Linked DNA regions of Oryza sativa Japonica Group. The protein of the gene in region 1 interacts with the protein of each later gene in a pairwise test. Links are inferred from orthologs where the notes say so. Each region holds a gene or a part of one and is shown on either strand. Other genes may lie near its edges. The genes, in order: NINJA1, protein TIFY 9 and protein TIFY 10a.

Region 1 (6,065 bases):
GCCGGTGACCAGCAGGGAGAAGGGTGGTGGTTGTTGGGTGGCGGTGGTAGGTAGAAGCCCGACGACGACACCCGGCGATAGGTGGGGAGAAGGCTGGCAGCGAACAAGAAGCTTGGCGGTGGCAAGCGTTGGGGAAAAGGGCGCATGCATCGAGGACGTTGCGACCGCAACGTGGAGTAGATGGAGTTGACCTCGAAGACGATGCGGCGGAGCCGCGTGTTCGCCTCTGCGGAGGAGAGGCGAAGCTCGGGGACACCTGAACACATCGGCTTTTGAGCCGCTCGATGGGGGCGAGTATGAGCTTGGGGGATAGGAGCTTGGCCATCGTGACGAGGTGGAAGCCCGGGATAGGAGCTTGGCCAGCGTGATGAGGCGGAAGCCCCAGCCCTCACGCGTGCCGATGAAGACGACATTGCAGTTGTAGTTGGGACCCGCGCCACACCCCGCACGTGCGCAAGTCCATGACGTGAGCGCTCCCGGTCATTGGGAACCATGTCAGCTGGCGGCCTCCGCCGTCGAGCTTTTCCCCACCGACCGACACCCTTCTCCCCACCCATTGGCGAATGCCCTGGAGGTTTGGGTTGAGATGGGAGTAGAGGGGAGTGAGGTGGAAGAAGATTGCTGGTTGGCTTGTGGGGTCCACGTGGGCCCTACACTGACTCAGCCACCACGTCAACAAAACTGAAGAGCAATACTAGCTTGTTGGGATTAAAAGTGATCCGTTTTGCAAGATTAGGGGTTCAGGGTCGTTTAGAACTCAACGACAAGATAAGGGACCTTAGATGAACTTTTTTGGGAGATGAAAAAACTCCAGCCTCATGGGCCTGTGCATATGACCCATACATAGGCAGGCGACACCGCGTGCACGCCCTCCGCCTCCCCAATCCGTCCCGTCTCCTCGCCCGCCGCCCTCGACTCCCGTCTCCTCGCCTGCCGCTGGCGCCGATCTCCATCCTGCTAGCAGAGGTGGCGCCGGCGTCCTCCTCCTGCTCCCGCCGCATTCGCTCACCGGTGAGCATCCTAATCCATCCCATCCGGCCTCGGCCTCGGCCTCGAATTTCGTCTCCTCACCCGCCGCTTGCGCCGATCCCCATCCTGCGAGCAGAGGTGGCGCCCGGCGTCCTCCTTCTAGCTTCCACCGCATCGTCGCTCGCCGGTGAGCATCCCTCCCTACCCACACCTCATCAGGTATTCTGCTTTATCCCTCAAAAAGTTTGGGGGTTCAACCGAAACAGGGTTAGATCTGCCTCTGCCCAGCTCCACCTACTTTCAAGTTGTTAATTTTGATTTCCGTTTTTAGCATATGTAATTTGGTTACTGAATCTCATCCAAACACCCTTATAGAACGAAAAATGTAAGCTCACATAATTTTTACTCATCCAAACTCACGTAAATTTCTTTAAGAAGAATCTAGACCACAAACTACCCATAGTCACACAAAATATCTTTTTATCAACTTATATTCTTATAAGTAATTTTTATTCCACAAAATTTCTAAAGGACATACGGTGACACTTGGCATTAATCTAATTTAACTTTTTTTTCTTTGTCAGGTTATAAATTTTCTAAGACATTTGTGCCACTTGGCATGAATCTAATTTAACATTCTTTCTTTATCAGGTTATAAATTGAAACCATTGAACGTACTCCCAACTTCCCAATTAGTTTTGCTAGTAAATATAAACAAACATTAGTTTTGTGCACACAATTCACGTGCTCCCAACTTCCCAAGTCCACATCACCCTTCACCCATTCCTCCACTTGAGCCAAAACACCACGTTATCCTAAAACCCCAACTGACAGATAAGCCCCACCCGACAGTCCATCCACGGGCCCACTCCATCCGCGCGGGCCCACTGTCCAGTGACACAGTGAACACAATCGTCATATTTGCACCGTTTGGGTAGGGTGGGGATGGGGTGTGTGCTAGCAATCCCGGTGGATCGAGTGGTAGGCGAAATTACAAAATTACCCTCGCTGTTTTGATGGCTCTGTCTCGTGGTCGTGCGTGAGTTATGCTTCTTGAGTTTGCCCTTGCCTACCCACCCGCCTCCGCCGATCCCCATTCCAACCCGCGACTGCGAGCGAGGCGAGTAGGGCGGCTTCGTCGTTCGTCCTGCTGCTTCCGCCGCATCCATCCTGGTGAGCACATCCTCTTCCGCCGCCGTCGCCTGCGGCCGATCCCCATCCATCACGCGCGAGCTCGTCCTGGTCCTGCTGCCGTCGCCTGCAGCCGATCCCCATCCATCACGCGCGAGCTCGTCCTGGTCCTGCTGCTTCCGCAGCATCCGTTACGCGCATCCTCTTTCCCATCTCTCCCTGTGTCTACCTACGAACTTATTTTTCTCGAATTTGTGCGTTAACCCTAGCTTCTGTTGTAGAAATCTGCCTTAAACCTTAATACTAGTAACAGTTTGATGGGAGCGTTAACCCTAGCTTCTGTTGTAGAAATCTGCCTTAAACCTTAATACTAGTAACAGTTTGATGGCTCCCAAAAAGGTTTCCCATGCTAGATCCGCCACTGTAGTATTACGACTATAAGTTTTTTTTGTTTTCACAGCAACTTAAAGAAATAAGCACTGCGCAACACAGTAGAATAGCCATAAAACAAGCCTTAGTGCCATGGTTTGGAGCATTTTGCTGCTGGCGTGAGAAGATGTTTCCATTCTGTTGGTTCAGCATTTTAGCTGGCGTTTAGCTAGATGTGCAACCTAAGGACGTCTGGTTTAGCAAGTTTAATGTCCAAGTTATTATTCTATAGTTAGAAATAAAGGTCTGTTGATTAAATTACAGTAGTTTAGCAAGTTTAATCACACCTTAATACTAGTAACAGTTTGATGGCTCCCAAAAAGGTTTCCCATGCTAGATCCGCCACTGTAGTATTACGACTATAAGTTTTTTTTTGTTTTCACAGCAACTTAAAGAAATAAGCACTGCGCAACACAGTAGAATAGCCATAAAACGAGCCTTAGTGCCATGGTTTGGAGCATTTTGCTGCTGGCGTGAGAAGATGTTTCCATTCTGTTGGTTCAGCATTTTAGCTGGCGTTTGGCTAGATGTGCAACCTAAGGATGTCTGGTTTAGCAAATTTAATGTCCAAGTTATTATTCTATAGTTAGAAATAAAGGTCTGTTGATTAAATTATAGTAGTTTAGCAAGTTTAATCACCAATTAGGGTTAGATTCAATCGACTGGTTTGGGGCAAAGTGTTTACTTTATTGTAGATCTTGTTGCTTAAATTACATCGGCCGGAGAGGTTCCGACTTAACATGCTGTAGCATCGATGTAGTGTATTCCAAGCCTCTCTCTCTCTCTAATTAACCCATCCACATTATCTAAAAAAAATTAACCCATCCAACTTTTTGGAGATTTCTTTAAAAAAAATTAACCCATCCAACTTTTTGGAGATTTCTTTGGTGGGTGGTCAGGCGGTAATAACAGTTTGTTTCCAAAAGTTTTGGAGATTCAGCGGATACACATGAAACATGTTTGCCATGCTTAGTCTCTTACCAAAGGCTTTTTTTTTCTTGCAGATATGACTTGTTGAGTGGAAAGAATCAATATAGTACAATCTATTTTCTTCTCAATGTGTAGAAGAAACAGTCTGTAACCATACATACTTATTAATACGACTAGTGAAATCTAGACATGGACGATGAGAATGGCCTTGAGCTTAGCTTGGGTCTCTCTTTGGGTGGGACATCAGGAAAGTCTAAGGCTAGAGATGCTCCTCTAGAACCTAAAGCAGAGCCTCAAGTGGAAGAGAGCAGTAGCAAAGGTGTTTCACAAACTCCTGAGGCTCCTTTTGTGCATTACTATCAAACAAATGCAGAGAACCAAGAACACAGTAGCAAGCAGAGACACAGCCCTGCTGCACCACCGTTTGGGAACTTTTGGGGACAGCCAGGGAGTTCTTCTGTTCCTGTGGCAGATGGATCCAATGAACAGAAGCCAGTCTCTAGTAAACGGAAATTACTTTCTGAGGAGATAAGTTTTCAGAAGAAACCTAATACAGCTGCTGAGCAACCTGATGCATTTAGTAAGAGCTCTGACGGTGGTGTAAAAAACGCTCCTATTTCAATTAGCACGGATGATGGTTCAACAGGTGAAAACGAGGATGTTGCAGAATCAGAAGCAGAAGGCTCAAACTCTTGGTTGGTTGCACAGCGTGAAGACAGTGCTAAGGGATCTGTTGTCAATAGAGGATCTGACAGAAAACGATCCAGTGATGATGCTGCAGTTGGTTTTCAAGGAAAGAGGCAGCCAAGTTTCTCAGGAAGTGAATCCAGCTCTGGAAAATTGCCACAAGGAAATCCTTTGTCATTGCAAGCATCAAATGTTGTTGCTGTGCCATATCAAGTCCCGTCTCAGGTTTCAGCTCCTCCCAGTATTACCAATGCATCAAATTTCACTCCAGTATGTACAGTGCAGTTGAGGCCACCTACAAACAATGGACTAGCTGTTACAATGGGCAGTACCTCTCAGGTAGCTTTTGGTTATCCAGCTGTCCAGCTACCAACACTTGAAACAAGCTCTTCATGGGCTTTTGGTGCTCCACCTCAGGCTATGTCCTCTTTTACTGCAAAAGACAAAGTTGAACGAGCAGGAATCAGTCAAGCTGACGATGGCAAGAAAACTCAAGGTTAGTTTACCTGTGAACAACGCCCACACTCTCAGAACAAAGAACAAAAAATGTACTGTTACCTGTTGTGGTTCATCTCTAAATAACAAATATATTTGAAGTCAACAAGAATTAAGATACTTGGTCTGGGTTTGATCACTACATTTTTAGCAAAAAAACTCTATGGTTATGTCGCAAATGTCGTTGGGTTTGGTATGATAGAAGTATACTTTGAGACATGCCACTGATCTCATTTAGTTTCAGAATATTTATGAGTAGTTGGAAGCTGCATTGCTGCTTGTATGCATACAAGAACTGCCTTTGTCTATGGTATTTTATGATCTGGTAACGTAAAATAAGTGGAGATTACTTCTTATGCGCTGCTGTTTTTATGCCTAAACAATCATATGTTTGAATTTGAAATTTTCAGTATTTACAATTTGCATACTGATTCATTTTTTCCCCCAACTTCAGAGGCTGGTGCTTCCTCTTCTGCTCTTGTGGAGGATGACAAGAAGTCTGATAGGGCATTACCTCTCATGGGTTCTGCTATAAGGCCAGGCATTGCACCAAATGTCAAATTCGGAGGATCTGGATCGTATCCTGACCTTCCCTGGGTTTCTACCACTGGTACTGGGCCAAATGGCAGAACCATATCAGGTGTAACATATAAGTTTGGCAGAAACGAGGTGAAGATAGTCTGTGCCTGCCATGGCACCCACATGACGCCGGAGGAATTTATGCGGCACGCAAGTGCAGATGCTCCGGGCCAAGAAAATAGTGCAACTTTGCCGGCATTTCCTGTCGGGAACCAAGCAGCCTCAGCCCAAAACTAATTCACCGATCTGTATGACGGTTTCAATGAGTGCTGGACTAATACCTGTTGCGCCCTTTGTGTTTATATCCTCCATTCCTTATACTATTATTATTATGTATTGGTGCTCATATGATATTTATCTTGTAAGTTTAGACACGTCATGTTTTATGCTTGATGTTGAGGATAAATTTGTTGTATGTCTTTAACTTATTATTATGCATCTTTTTAGGAGGATCAAACAAGTCGGAGCTTTAAATAACCTGAATTCCGCTGTAGCCATATGGAATCATGTGGATTTTTTGCCAATTGATGTTGTGGTGGAATAAAATGCGGCATGTCTTGAATTACATTTGTATATTTGTCATGAAAGATTAGTTCATGTGCTTACGTTTTAAGTAGTTTTTGTGAATATACTTTGCGATTAGCAACGCAAAGTAAGACCATGTTTAGTTCCCCAAAAGAATTTTTTTTATCACATCGGATGCTTGACCGGATGTCGGAAGGGTTTTTTTGGACATGAATGAAAAAACTAATTTCATAACTTGCTTGGAAACCGCGAGATGAATCTTTTGAGCCTAATTAATCCGTTATTAGCACATATTGGTTACTGTAGCACTTATGGTTAAT
Region 2 (6,098 bases), on another chromosome or scaffold:
ATATCTGCATATGTGTGATGTCACCCTCGGTTGTCCACCCATGCATATGATGCTTGATTGTCGATTGCATGCACGCAAGGGAGCTACCATATCTGATCGCAGCATGTCCAGCGACAAGTTAGAGTTTATTTACTCAATCTAATCTTAATTTCTTAATCTAAATATAATCACCTTAATTTCTTATGCGGAAATAAATTGATTCATTGACCTTGATGTGAAGCCATTTAAGCCGATGATCTAATCCTTTTATTTTTCTTCTTCTTCTCTTTTCTTTTTCTTCTTGCGACATACATCACGAATCCTTTCCAGTGATAAAATTGATCGGGCGATTGAATTAGGGCTTTAGGGTAGAGAGGATTCGGTGAAGTCGCCTTTGCCTCTTCTCCTCTTCCTAGACATAAGGACATTAGTGGGGTCCGGGGGTTTATTTCCAAATAAATTTAAATCTATTTTGTACGATCACACATAACAGATTTTATCTCTACTTTATTTCTTGTTAGGAAAATAAAACCGATGGAATTTAATTCTTTTCCTAACTAACCAATAATGAATTGATAAAATCAACCAACATGGCCATCAGGACGAATCAATTGACCAAATCCTAATAGCCTTCCCTGAGTCGCTTCAGTTCTAGTGATTGATCCTCAACACTATTGGGCAACCTTATTTCCTGGTTACGACGAGTTTTTCAATAGTTTGGAGGTGTGGCCGTAGAAATTAAATCAACAAGCATCGACACCATTATTGTTTTGATAGCATGGTCGATTTGTAATTAAAGAACACAATAATATATAGGAGTCTTCAATCACTAATAATGCTTTTGTCCAAAGTGGTGACTGGTGAGCACGACAGTTTAAGCTGTTTGGGTGGGAGGGCCTTTCACAGAAATATAAGTCCCTCCATTAGTTTCTCTAAAAAGAACATAAGTTTCTCTAGAAGGACATGTATTCCTATCCCTCCATAGGGATTTATATTTCCGTAAGAGGACTAATAGAGCATAAGAGCTAGGCTGCACGGGGGTCCTCAGCTACCCGCGGCTAGCTAGCACACATAATGGTTGATAGTCGGTCGCAAATCAATACCACAAGACATAGGCCTTGTATCCCTTTTCGATTCTTTTCTTTATTATTGTAACTTGTTGTACAACTTATACATATATTCTCTAAAATATTTGTTGTTAAATGGCTAAATAACCGAATGATTTATGATAATTAAACTGAGTGGGCAAACAAACGAATAAATATATTATATTTTTTATCTATCTATACCTAATTAAAAAATCTATAAAGCTTCCGGTAATACTTTTTTGTCCGTCTTTTTTTCTCTTTTCTTGGCTGTTTTTTCTATCTTTTTTTTTCTTTTCTTGCTGTTTTTATTTTCTGATCCTTTTTTGTCCGTATTTTTCTCCTCTTTATTTTTTTCTAGTTTTTCCCGCAGCAGTTTTTCTGCCGCCGCCTCGATCTATCTTCTTGTACCTTTTGTCCTCTTATTGATTGTAAAAATAGATCCCTACTCATTTCTTATTATTTTAATTTCCTTATGATTTTCCCTTACAATTTGGCTTTAATTCACCGGATCTAATCTCCAGCCGCCGCCTGGGCTGAACCCTAACTGCGCCATCACATCGATCTACCTCCCCTTACGTTTTCTCCTTTAATTAATTGCAAAAATTGATTCCCCATCCTTCCCTCATAGTTTCCCCCATGATTTTCCCTTTCAATTCGGTTTTAATTAATTCGTTGGATTCAATCTTCGTTTAACTGTCACCAATAATGACCGACCGACGAGCTTCCCCATTCCATTTTTATCCAGAGTTTTACAGATTTGCTCTGTTTTTGGGAAACAGAAAGAGGAGATCGAGTGAATCAAAATCCCTTGGCCAGGGAGATCAAAAAAGAATCAGCTGGATTTTTATGGGAGGGCACACAAGGATTCTCTCCCGAAGGTTCAAGACGGTATACTGAATGACATTGCCAGCTGTGATAACTAAGTATTTGTGGACTGGACGAAAGAGAGGCAAGCCGAGCAGGAAGAGATAGGAGACATCAGACTGTGCTAGGGCTAAAAAGGAAAAAAAAGTAATGAGCTTTCGGCTCAAAACGAAGAAAAAATTTTGATTAACATGTTTTCAATTATAGTGTATAGCAATTATAATGTTTCAAGCTATTGCTCAGTTCATAATAGAGTTGTTATACCACTAAGAAAAATGTATTTACCTGTTGCAACGTATTGATATTTTTTTCAAGTTAATCATAAAAATACATTAGCGTTTGTAAGCTTTCTAAAAACGTGCGGGTTAATCCATCGTTTTCATTGGTTAGAAAAAACGAATGGGCGCGGGGCCTCTTTTTTTTATACCCCGCGCGCACCTCCCAACCCAACAAACACCACATTTTGCAGCTGCTTCTAATCTATACGTGTTCTAGCTAAGCTAGCTAGCTAGCTCTCGTTCTCCGGCCATGTCGACGAGGGCGCCCGTCGAGCTCGACTTCCTCGGCCTCCGCGCCGCCGCCGCCGACGCCGACGACCGCCACGCCAAGAGCGGCGGCTCCTCCGCCTCCTCTTCCTCCTCCATCCGAGGTACGTGACGTGACGTCTGTCGACGTCGCCGTCGATCGATGATCTCATCTCACCGCCGCCGGCTAGCTCCGTGTCCCTCTCGATCGATCTGAGTCGATTGCTTGCGTTGCGAGAGCAGGGATGGAGACGAGCGCGATAGCGAGGATAGGGCCCCACCTGCTGCGCCGCGTCATCGCCGCCGCCGGACCTCCGCCACCGCCGTCGACGGCGCCGGTGCCGGAGGAGATGCCCGGCGCCGCCGCCGCCGCCGCTCCGATGACGCTCTTCTACAACGGTTCAGTCGCCGTCTTCGACGTCTCCCACGATAAGGTGTGTAATATACATGAGTAAATTATATTGGTAGTATATAAACTTGTTAGCTGGATGCAACTTAGTGAATAAACTTGTAAAATGCTTATTTCGATGCATGAACTTGTCTAGTTCGTGCGAACGAGGACTAAAATAGCTTGGCAATGTTCGTTTTATAAAGCTGATGTTGATTAGGATGTGACGTGCATATGTGTAGTGAGTATATATAAGATATGCAATATTTATAAATTTCGTCTCTACTTTATTCTTCATCATGGAAGTGATGAATTTCATATATTTCTAACCCTTATATCATTGCTTTTTTTAATCTTTTTTCTACAATCACTATATCCATTCTATTTTTTACTAAAGAGGTGTATTTCTAATAGCAAATCTTCACGTATATATGTTTACATGGTATCCTAATGAGCCCCTAAATTAATAAGATTAACCAGGTAGTGTCCTTTTTCCTTCCTCCGCACGCACCAGACAAGTTTATGCACCAAAACGAGCATTTTACAAGTTCGTGCACTAGATTGCACTCACCTGACAAGTTCATGTACCGGCGATGCAATTTACTTAATATATATTTATCGTCTAAGTTAATTAATCACAAATTATTAGGAGATTATCCGCGATTAGTTAGTTGTTAACACAGTAATATTATATTAATACTGTCGTCGGAGATAGAACGGCCAGCGAACCGGGGCACCTGTTGAACACTTGTACCTTCACCTTCACAGAACGCGTGTGATTACAAAACTAACGAAACTCGGCGCGTTACTGCTGCGAGAATTATGTATAAAAATATTATAAATAATACCCCTTTTGTTTTTTATTATATGTGATATGCTGTTGACTTTTCATTGATCATTCATCTTATTAAAAAAATTTATGTAATTATCATTTATTTTATTCTGATTTGATATATCATCAAATATTCTTTAAACATGATTTAAATATTTTTTATATTTACATAAAAATTTTGAATAAAACGAATGGTCAAATATTTGTAAAAATTCAATGGCGTCATATATTAAAAAATATTAAAAAATGGAAGTAGTATGTAAGATAGCTGGATGATTATTTACTTTATATAATTTTCATCTTTGATTGATCAATAAAAAATTATAAACAATTAAGATGATATGGTTTATAACAATTTAAAACATTCAAAAAAAATGAAACTAAGGTGATGTGACTTAATAGCAAAACAAAATAAAGGGGGATAATATAGATTAATTACCCAAAGACAAAACTACGATGATATGACCTTTCCTAGGAGAAGAAAAGTCTGTCCATTAAAAATCATACAGCGTTAACATAGAATTAATTTACAATCAAAATCATGGTGTAGGATCGAACTGCACCAAGTCTAAATTAAAAGAGTTCTTGTTTTTCATGCATGATGGCTGGAAGGGATGCGCACAATGATATACTATCTCCCTTAAATTAGCTTGATAGTGGTAGATAGTACAATTTCATAGAGATACAATCTTCTCAATGCTTTCCCTTTCCATATTCCATCCCTAGGCAGAGGCTATAATGAGGATGGCAACCGAGGCAACTAAAGCAAAAGGACTCGCTCGTGGCAATGCAATTGTAGGCAATTTTGCCAAAGGTTTGTTAATGTTAGTAGAATTGTTGCGAAAAGTAATCAGCAGAACAACAAAAATATGTTCTTTTTTAATCTGTTTTTTTTCCTGTGGCTTATAGTATTGTTCTTCAACTCTTCTTGTTTGCAGAGCCACTCACAAGAACTAAATCTCTGCAACGATTCCTCTCCAAGAGAAAAGAGAGGTATAGACAATGCAATTTTCATATATTTTGTTTGTCACCTAAATACACATTTTTTCCTACTCCCTGCGTTTCAAATTAATTATTATTCTAGTTTTATCATAAGTTAAGCATTTGTATTTTTTACCACCAATTTCCAGAAGTTTATATAATTTAACATCATAAGATTTATGTTTTGTATTCACTATGAGAAAACTTTCACAATATATAATCACATGTTTTTGCATTATTCAAATTTTTAGATATCAACGAACAAAATAGAAATATTTGACTTAGGACAAAATGAATGTGAAGTAATTAATTTGAAAAGAAAAGGAGTATGTATAAGTACATAGAAATAATGATTTGATCAAACCTTTTCAAAAAGAACTCAATTACACTTAAATAAAAGAGTATTAACATTTTCATTATTTCTCTCTCTAATTGGAATCTTCAGTGTGAGACTAGCTATCTACCTATAGTTGTATACTGTGGAAGCTCATGGTAGCTAAAGCTACCACATGGTGAGCTGACCGGAGACCCCAGAAGCCGTGTGGGCCCGGATGAGCAGTGCCCATCGACCTCTTACAACCACGTTTTAGTCGTGACGAATTAGTGCATGGAAAGTCTATGGGCTATGGATCATATCGACATGTGTGTGGAGGATAGCAAGTTTGCATATGCAATATCTCGATCGATTTGGTGATGATATATATATCGCAATGAAATCGATATATGGGGGCTGTACTACTTCATTGACCAACTAGCTACCGAATCAAATTAAGACTTATCGCAGCTAAAGAAGCAATAAACTAACTGAAAGCAAAGATATGTCTTTGACCACACCACACGCACATATCATTAAGGCTTTGATTTGATTGTGCTTTAAAAGATCGGTTTGGTTCTGGTTGTGTGTTGGCTAAGGTGGTGTTTGGATACAGGACTTAACTTTAGTCTCTATATCTAGACACTAATTTAAAGTATTAAATATAGACTACTTATAAAACTAATTACATAAATGAAAGCTAATTTGCGAGACAAGTTTTTTAAGCCTAATTAATCCATAATTAGAAAATATTTACGGTAGCATCACATAGACTAATCATGGATTAATTAGGCTCAATAGATTCGTCTCGTGAATTAGTCCAAGATTATAGATGGGTTTTATTAATAGTCTACATTTAATATTTATAATTAGTGTCCAAATATCCGATGTAATAGGAACTTAAAAGTTTTAGTCCCATCTAAACATGGTCTAATTCGTTTGTCCCAGACTTGAAAAATGTGGCACTGATTTCTCTTCCTTTCAAATATATATATATATATATATATATATATATATATATATATATATATATATATATATATATATATATATATATATATATATATATATATATATATATATATATATATATATATATATATATATATATATATATATATATATATAT
Region 3 (6,145 bases), on another chromosome or scaffold:
GACCACCAAGAGCAAGAGGGAAGGGGAAGGAGAAGAAAGGTTCTGTTGCGGCATCCATTTGATGCGGTTGTCTTTTGGGAAGGTTCTAATGGTCTGGACCATGTTGTCCTATCAAATTGATATGATGTAGAACACTACTATCAGATGTAGTTGTCTTTTGGATGTGAGGATGAATCATATGATGTAAACCTCTAACTGTGTTGGTTGAATTAGTCAGATGTAGTTGTCTTTTGGATGTGAGGATGAATCATATGATGTGAACCTCAACTATTGTCATTTAGTTTGATTATGTTACCGTGTTCATGCCAGAATGACGCTAGTTGACTATGTTCTCTTGCTTGTTGTCTCAAATGGTGTTTTATTGATGCCAAAATGCTGTCAATATTACAATTTCATGGGCAGGGGCATTCTTGTCCTAATTTTCATGAAAACCAGCCATATAACGGTGTTAGTCTAAGCTGTGAGTCCAGTGGCAGTTATGTTGGGTTCAAACTGTTTTTAATGGCAAATTTGCAATTACAGTTTTTTTAGTGGTAGATCCACAATACCTGTTCAATCCAGTGGCAAATATGCAATTGACCCATGAATTATCATAGGCTGGCATGGCAATTGGCAGAGTGGTCATGCACGTTACGCGAAATGAATAAAGTTGCTGGAAGTGGGCACGAGCAAATGGGCTCGCATTATATTGGATGACAAACTGCTTTCCTGCCGGCCACCATGCATCTGTAGACCGATTTTAGTTTCAAAATTTTTCTTCAAACTTTCAACTTTTTCATCACATCAAGACTTTCCTACACATACAAACTTTTAACTTTTCCGTCAGATCGTTCCAATTTCAACCAAACTTTTTAATTTTGGCGTTAACTAAACACACCCGTAGTCTCAGGCAACCGTAGTCTCAGGCAAGAGCCATGTTAAAATACTACTATTCTTCATTTCCGAACGTGAGCTTTACTCTAATGTACGTGGATCGTCCACTGTTTGTCCGGCAGAACCCGGTTTGGTCCCGGTTTTAAAATGCGCAGAACATGCAGTTTTTCTTCAATGTCACCAAAATGATTTTATTTTTTTTTCTCTTTTCCCTTGGAGAAAAAAAAATGGAGAGTCATTTCATCCCAAAAAAATAATTTTTAAAAAATTCCGACCATGGGCTGCTGCTGAATGTAGCCGGAGAGCGACGTGCGCATTTTTGCGTGTTCCCCGGACGCCCTGCCGTTGCCGCGTTATACATCACTTTCTTCTCCTTTTCTTTTATCTTTATCTTTATCTTTTTTTTTTCTCTATTCATTTGTGCAAGTGGCAGATGCTGCCTCTGAGTCAAAACACGTTTTCTTCCTGTGTTGGACGGAGTATGCACAAGTGTGTGTGTGTGCGTGCCTCGTCTCCATCAAGTTTTCAGGTCGTGCAAGAGCCAAGAGCCACAATTCTCTCTCTCTCTCTCTCTCTCTCTCTCTCTGAGCTGTCTGTCTTCTAACCTCTGAGGCCAAGCAAAGGCTTGCAAATCATGGTACACTAGTACTACTCAGCATGTCCAAATAACATTCTAGTTTCTGAATAGAGCTTCAAAATTCATACAAGAATGCATGTTGGAAACAGCAAAAGGAGATGCATCCTGTTAATGGGGGGGGGGGGGGGAAACAGGCGTAAGTGAATAACAATCAATCTTGTGATGTGTATATATTAGCAGTACATTTGCTTTGCTTCTACATGGCAATGCCAAAGCAAAACGATATTGAATTGGTACAAATGAGGTTTCTTGGGTTGTACTGATTACAGAATCTTCTGCTTTCTATCATAGCAATTTGATTCAGATTACTGGTCATAATCATCAGCTACTTTCTTTACATTCAATCCTAGTATATATATCAGAAGAACATCGCCTTGTCATCGGATCATCTCCTAACACAAAACACCCAATTCAAGAGTTGTGATAACCTCTATGACTGAATCATCTGATGAGAGGGGCATCTCAGAATTGAGCATTGATTCATTGGCTCGATTCCTGCCGCAAGCTCAGGTCGGGAGCGGCAACCTGAGGTCCTAACCCAAGCCATGGCTGACTCTCCTGCAGCTCCTTCTTGACCGGAGAAGCATCTGAAGGGGAACCCTGGTAGGGTGCTTTAGCCTGAAGGCTGAAATAAAGGAGCAGCAAAAGTTAGATCCAAAATCTAGAATTGTGAATTGTAGAATTTGACTATACTTTGTGCTGCCATGATAGCAAGCATAACCTACCGATCCTTTCTTTTCTCGAGGAACCGGTGAAGCGACGCCTTCCTAGCCTGAGGCAGATCTGCAGGATTTGAAGAACAGTTAGTACAATAAAATGGATTCACATGCTACAAGTATATTCCATCATTCAGAGCAAGCAATAACAGCCGAGGTTAGAGTAGTTACCAGCAGCATTTGGACGAACAGGTTTCGGGGCATTGGCCTGAGCAACAGGAAGTGCACTTGCTGGGGCTGGTACAGCAGACACCTTAGTGTTGTCGGCAACGGTTGCAGTAGCGGAAGATGGAAGAAGGACACAGTTCTGCGCTGTGGAGGAACTCTTGCTGGCCATCTGCATCAGGTCCTTGGCCTTCTCAGCTGGGAAGTCATCAAACACCAGGACCTTCCCACCGTAGAAGATGGTTAATTGGCGCTTCTCTTGCTCCCTGACAACGGAAATACAAGAAAGCTTAGACAAACACAACCATTTAACCAATTTTAAAGCTTACACAACAGAAACTATTTACTAACTGATATCGGTCAGCAAGCACCCGCCATCTACGCATATGTTCAGAAGAATAACTTGTAGTAAGTACCAACTAATATTTGGGTTTTTTGTTCATGAATCACTCGAGTCAGAACATTTTCACTTTCGGATCGTGCGAGCCCACTAAGTCTGAAACCCGTGGTTATTAGTTGCGAGACATACATCGTTGACTCGCACAAAAAACGACTCGCACAAAAAACAGAAGAAGGAACTGCAGACTTGCATAGCACCAGTTCTATATTGGATTAAATATCGAACCTTTCCATCACACCGAAATCCATCCCTAGAACTCTAAACTAAATTATATCCATTTTACACACGAATTAGATTTCAGACCATGACCCGAGAGCTGACCAGCTCAGCTCCTGGCAGCACTAAGATCTGGTCAGGACAAGGCAAGATGTTCTCCTCCTCCTCCACACTACCTACCAACCACTACTTTGTTTGGTTGGATTGTTGCTATTGGTTTCTCCTATCATGTGACTACAGCTAAAGGAACCGTATGAACTGATAGCTGAAGCAATTCGAACAAAGATTGTGTTGAGTACCTCGCATCCGGGGTCTCCTTCACGGCAGCAGCTTCAGAGCCGAACCCGGAATTCTGGGGGAACAGCTCCATGGTCTCCTTCCCCTTGTTCGCATCGGCTTCACCTGAAAAATGATATGACATAGTTTTTCAGCCCAGATTCACAACATCAGATTTAAAAAAAATGTTGCGAATTTTACAGCTAGCTAGATGCGCAGAATTGGAATGGTTGAGACTGGTTTAAGCCGAATAAAATTCTACATGGGGGAATTCTCGCTTCCAAAGCTCGAAGAACTAGACCAGATCTCACGGAAACCTTCCTAGGGGAGGTTTTTTTCACCCAAAACCCGTAAAGATAAAGATCCAGACTTTGCAGAAGGAAAAAAAGAAAAAGAAAGGGAGGTGACCTCTGATGCCGAGGCCGAGCTCGCCGGCGGCTGCGCCGTTCTGCCTGACGTAGCGGCTGAGCAGGCTGCAGGCCATGGCGAAGCTGCTGCTCCCCCTCTCCCCGGATTTCGCGGAAGCCATCTTCTTCTTCTTCTTCTGCCCACAAGCTGAATCCTTTTCTCCGAACGGAGTCACGGACCCCCGAAATCCTCCCGCTTCGATTCGATTCGATCGAGTCTTCTCCTCTGGTCGCGGTTGCGGGTTGCTCGTCCTTGTCTGTCTCTGAGTTGTCTTCCTCCTCCGTCCGGCGGTTCAGGTTCTATATAAGGGACGCACGAGACTAACAATAACAATAATGGTGGGGATTATCTTTAAGACGAAAAAGTTTCGATTTTTGTAATCGCAAGTTGCGAGGGAAAAAAAAAAGTTAGTTTGGGTGTTGGTGCCTTTGTTTGAGCACGTGATTGTTGTGGAGATTGGCAAGGTGCGCAGATTCCTATTCTCTCGTTATCTTTTTCCTGGTTTGTGTTTACTGTGTGCCGGTGTGGTATGCCGTGACGTTAGGTTTGATTGGATGCAACGTGGCCGACAAAGGAGTGGGGCCCTTCGTCCTAAAATGCATAACCTTCCGTACCAGAAAAAACCAATCCTACCTACCAATCTGGATATATATATGTGTTCAGGTTCGTAGCTATGAATTCGTTCTTTTGGATGGAGTAGTACTTCCTTCCTCATCTCAAGATACTGTCTCCATTCTAAAATATAAGAATATAAGACTCTATTATCATCTCATAGTTTAGATCATCCAAATAACTATAATGTATGCACCAATAGAATTAAAAGAGAATATATTCTATACCATTAAGTTTGTTCGAGTTCAACGATTTGCCATCGACATTATCTCTTTTTATAATATACCAGTAACTTTATCAATTCTTCTACAATATGTCATTGGGTTGGGCCTTCTTTTCAAATATATCCAAAATACCCTTACGAACATACAAGATTAACAATTGATTTATCTCATCTAAAGTTTTAAAAAAATATGAAAACTTTGTAGTGGCCTCCTTACACAATATGGAAGTTTGTATACAAGTTTGAAATTTTTTTATGGTATATTTAGATTTTAGAAAAAATATTTTTATGTGGTATATGATAGAGAATTTGCTTACGCAAGAGATAATATCATAAAAATATCTTATGCATTGTATGAAAGATGATTTATATTAAAACAACAATAAAAAGTATTTTATATAGCATATAATAGATAAGTTATATTTTTTAAAAAATAGAAATATAAAAACTCGAAACTTCTATACAAATTTCCATGTTATGCAAGGAGGTCACATAAAATTTTTTATATTTTTTAAACTCCTAATGAGATAAATCAATTGTTAATCTTATATGTCCATAAGAGGAATTTGGGTACTTTTGAAAAGAAGACATATCCCAATGGCGTATTGATGAACGATTGATAAAGTCGTTGGTATATAATATAAATCGACAATGTCGATGGTAAATCGTTGAACTCGAACAAACTCAATTGTATAGAATAGATTCTCTCTAGGATTAAAGATTTTGAGGATGGAGGATTTAAAAAAAAATCATAGTGCGAAAGATGTGCTAGTTAATGGCATGCATTCATGCATGCCTTATATTATGAAACATCTAAAAAATAGTTGTGCCTTATATTATGAAATGAATGGAATACTAGCACTTACTCTCTCCGACCCAATATAAGTGCAACCTAGTACATATATGGTATATCCTAATACTACGAATCTGAACAATTGTCTGCACAGATTCGTAATCCTAATATATGTCATATTTGTACTAGGTTGCACTCATATTAGGACGAAAGGGCTGTCTAAATTCGTATTATTAGAATATGTCATATACTAGATTGCACTTATATTAGGATGGAGGGAGTACAATTTAGGGAGGGGGAGGGGGGTGTTTGGTTACCAGCAACACTTTGCCATAGTTTGTTACGCCCAATGTTAGCCGGGCTGGACCATATTGGCAATTGTTTGGTTGTAGGCACAATTGTGTCAAGATTCTTTTCCAACAAATTGGACTCCACACGTCTTTGACTCAAAAAAGTGTGGCAAGATTCCCTTAGGCCTGCTAAGGTGTGGCCAAGAATTTGATCGTCTCAACTTAGGCAAGTGTGGTAATATGTGTTGACAAATGGCGGCAAAGTATAGCTAGAAACCAAAGACACCCTTAGACACATCATATCCTTATATTACGAATTTAAATAGATCCAAAGGGCTATATTATTGCATAATACTATGAATCTGGACAAAACTTTATCAAAATCTATATTATTATATAACTATATTTTAACACGGAAGAAATGGTATATAAGTAGTACTTGTTTGCTACTCTAGAGAGAGCATATGATTTGTATACATCACCGTCTTATAGAGACATACACGACGCAAAGCTATTTACATTAGTATCCTCAACGT

Evidence for each region.
Region 2: the proteins of NINJA1 (region 1) and protein TIFY 9 interact in binary tests that used the Arabidopsis thaliana proteins (3 or more experiments, as listed by UniProt). The link is inferred for Oryza sativa Japonica Group from reciprocal best matches to the Arabidopsis thaliana genes NINJA and JAZ10.
Region 3: the proteins of NINJA1 (region 1) and protein TIFY 10a interact in binary tests that used the Arabidopsis thaliana proteins (3 or more experiments, as listed by UniProt). The link is inferred for Oryza sativa Japonica Group from reciprocal best matches to the Arabidopsis thaliana genes NINJA and TIFY10B.

Annotation. Positions count from the first base shown.
Region 1 is NC_089039.1:27,977,177-27,983,241, forward strand, and holds NINJA1 (protein NINJA homolog 1), read left to right. Parts: upstream 1-2,015; 5' UTR 2,016-2,142; exon of another isoform or gene 2,143-2,290; intron 2,291-3,533; 5' UTR 3,534-3,648; coding exon 3,649-4,642; intron 4,643-5,095; coding exon 5,096-5,457; 3' UTR 5,458-5,782; downstream 5,783-6,065. UniProt on the Arabidopsis thaliana protein: Acts as a transcriptional repressor. Negative regulator of jasmonate responses. Connects the JAZ proteins and the non-JAZ protein TIFY8 with the TOPLESS corepressors.
Region 2 is NC_089038.1:19,857,821-19,863,918, forward strand, and holds the start of protein TIFY 9, read left to right. Parts: upstream 1-2,413; 5' UTR 2,414-2,459; coding exon 2,460-2,580; intron 2,581-2,698; coding exon 2,699-2,889; intron 2,890-4,401; coding exon 4,402-4,489; intron 4,490-4,613; coding exon 4,614-4,668; intron 4,669-6,098. UniProt on the Arabidopsis thaliana protein: Repressor of jasmonate (JA) responses. Interacts with and suppresses RHD6 and RSL1 transcription factor activities to negatively regulate jasmonate-stimulated root hair development.
Region 3 is NC_089037.1:16,852,281-16,858,425, forward strand, and holds protein TIFY 10a, read right to left. Parts: upstream 4,039-6,145; 5' UTR 3,813-4,038; coding exon 3,692-3,812; intron 3,410-3,691; coding exon 3,307-3,409; intron 2,658-3,306; coding exon 2,398-2,657; intron 2,294-2,397; coding exon 2,236-2,293; intron 2,136-2,235; coding exon 1,991-2,135; 3' UTR 1,628-1,990; downstream 1-1,627. Other genes in the region: uncharacterized protein, read left to right, coding at 1-62. UniProt on the Arabidopsis thaliana protein: Repressor of jasmonate responses. Jasmonoyl-isoleucine (JA-Ile) specifically promotes COI1-TIFY10B/JAZ2 interaction. Activated by MYC2, MYC3 and MYC4 transcription factors.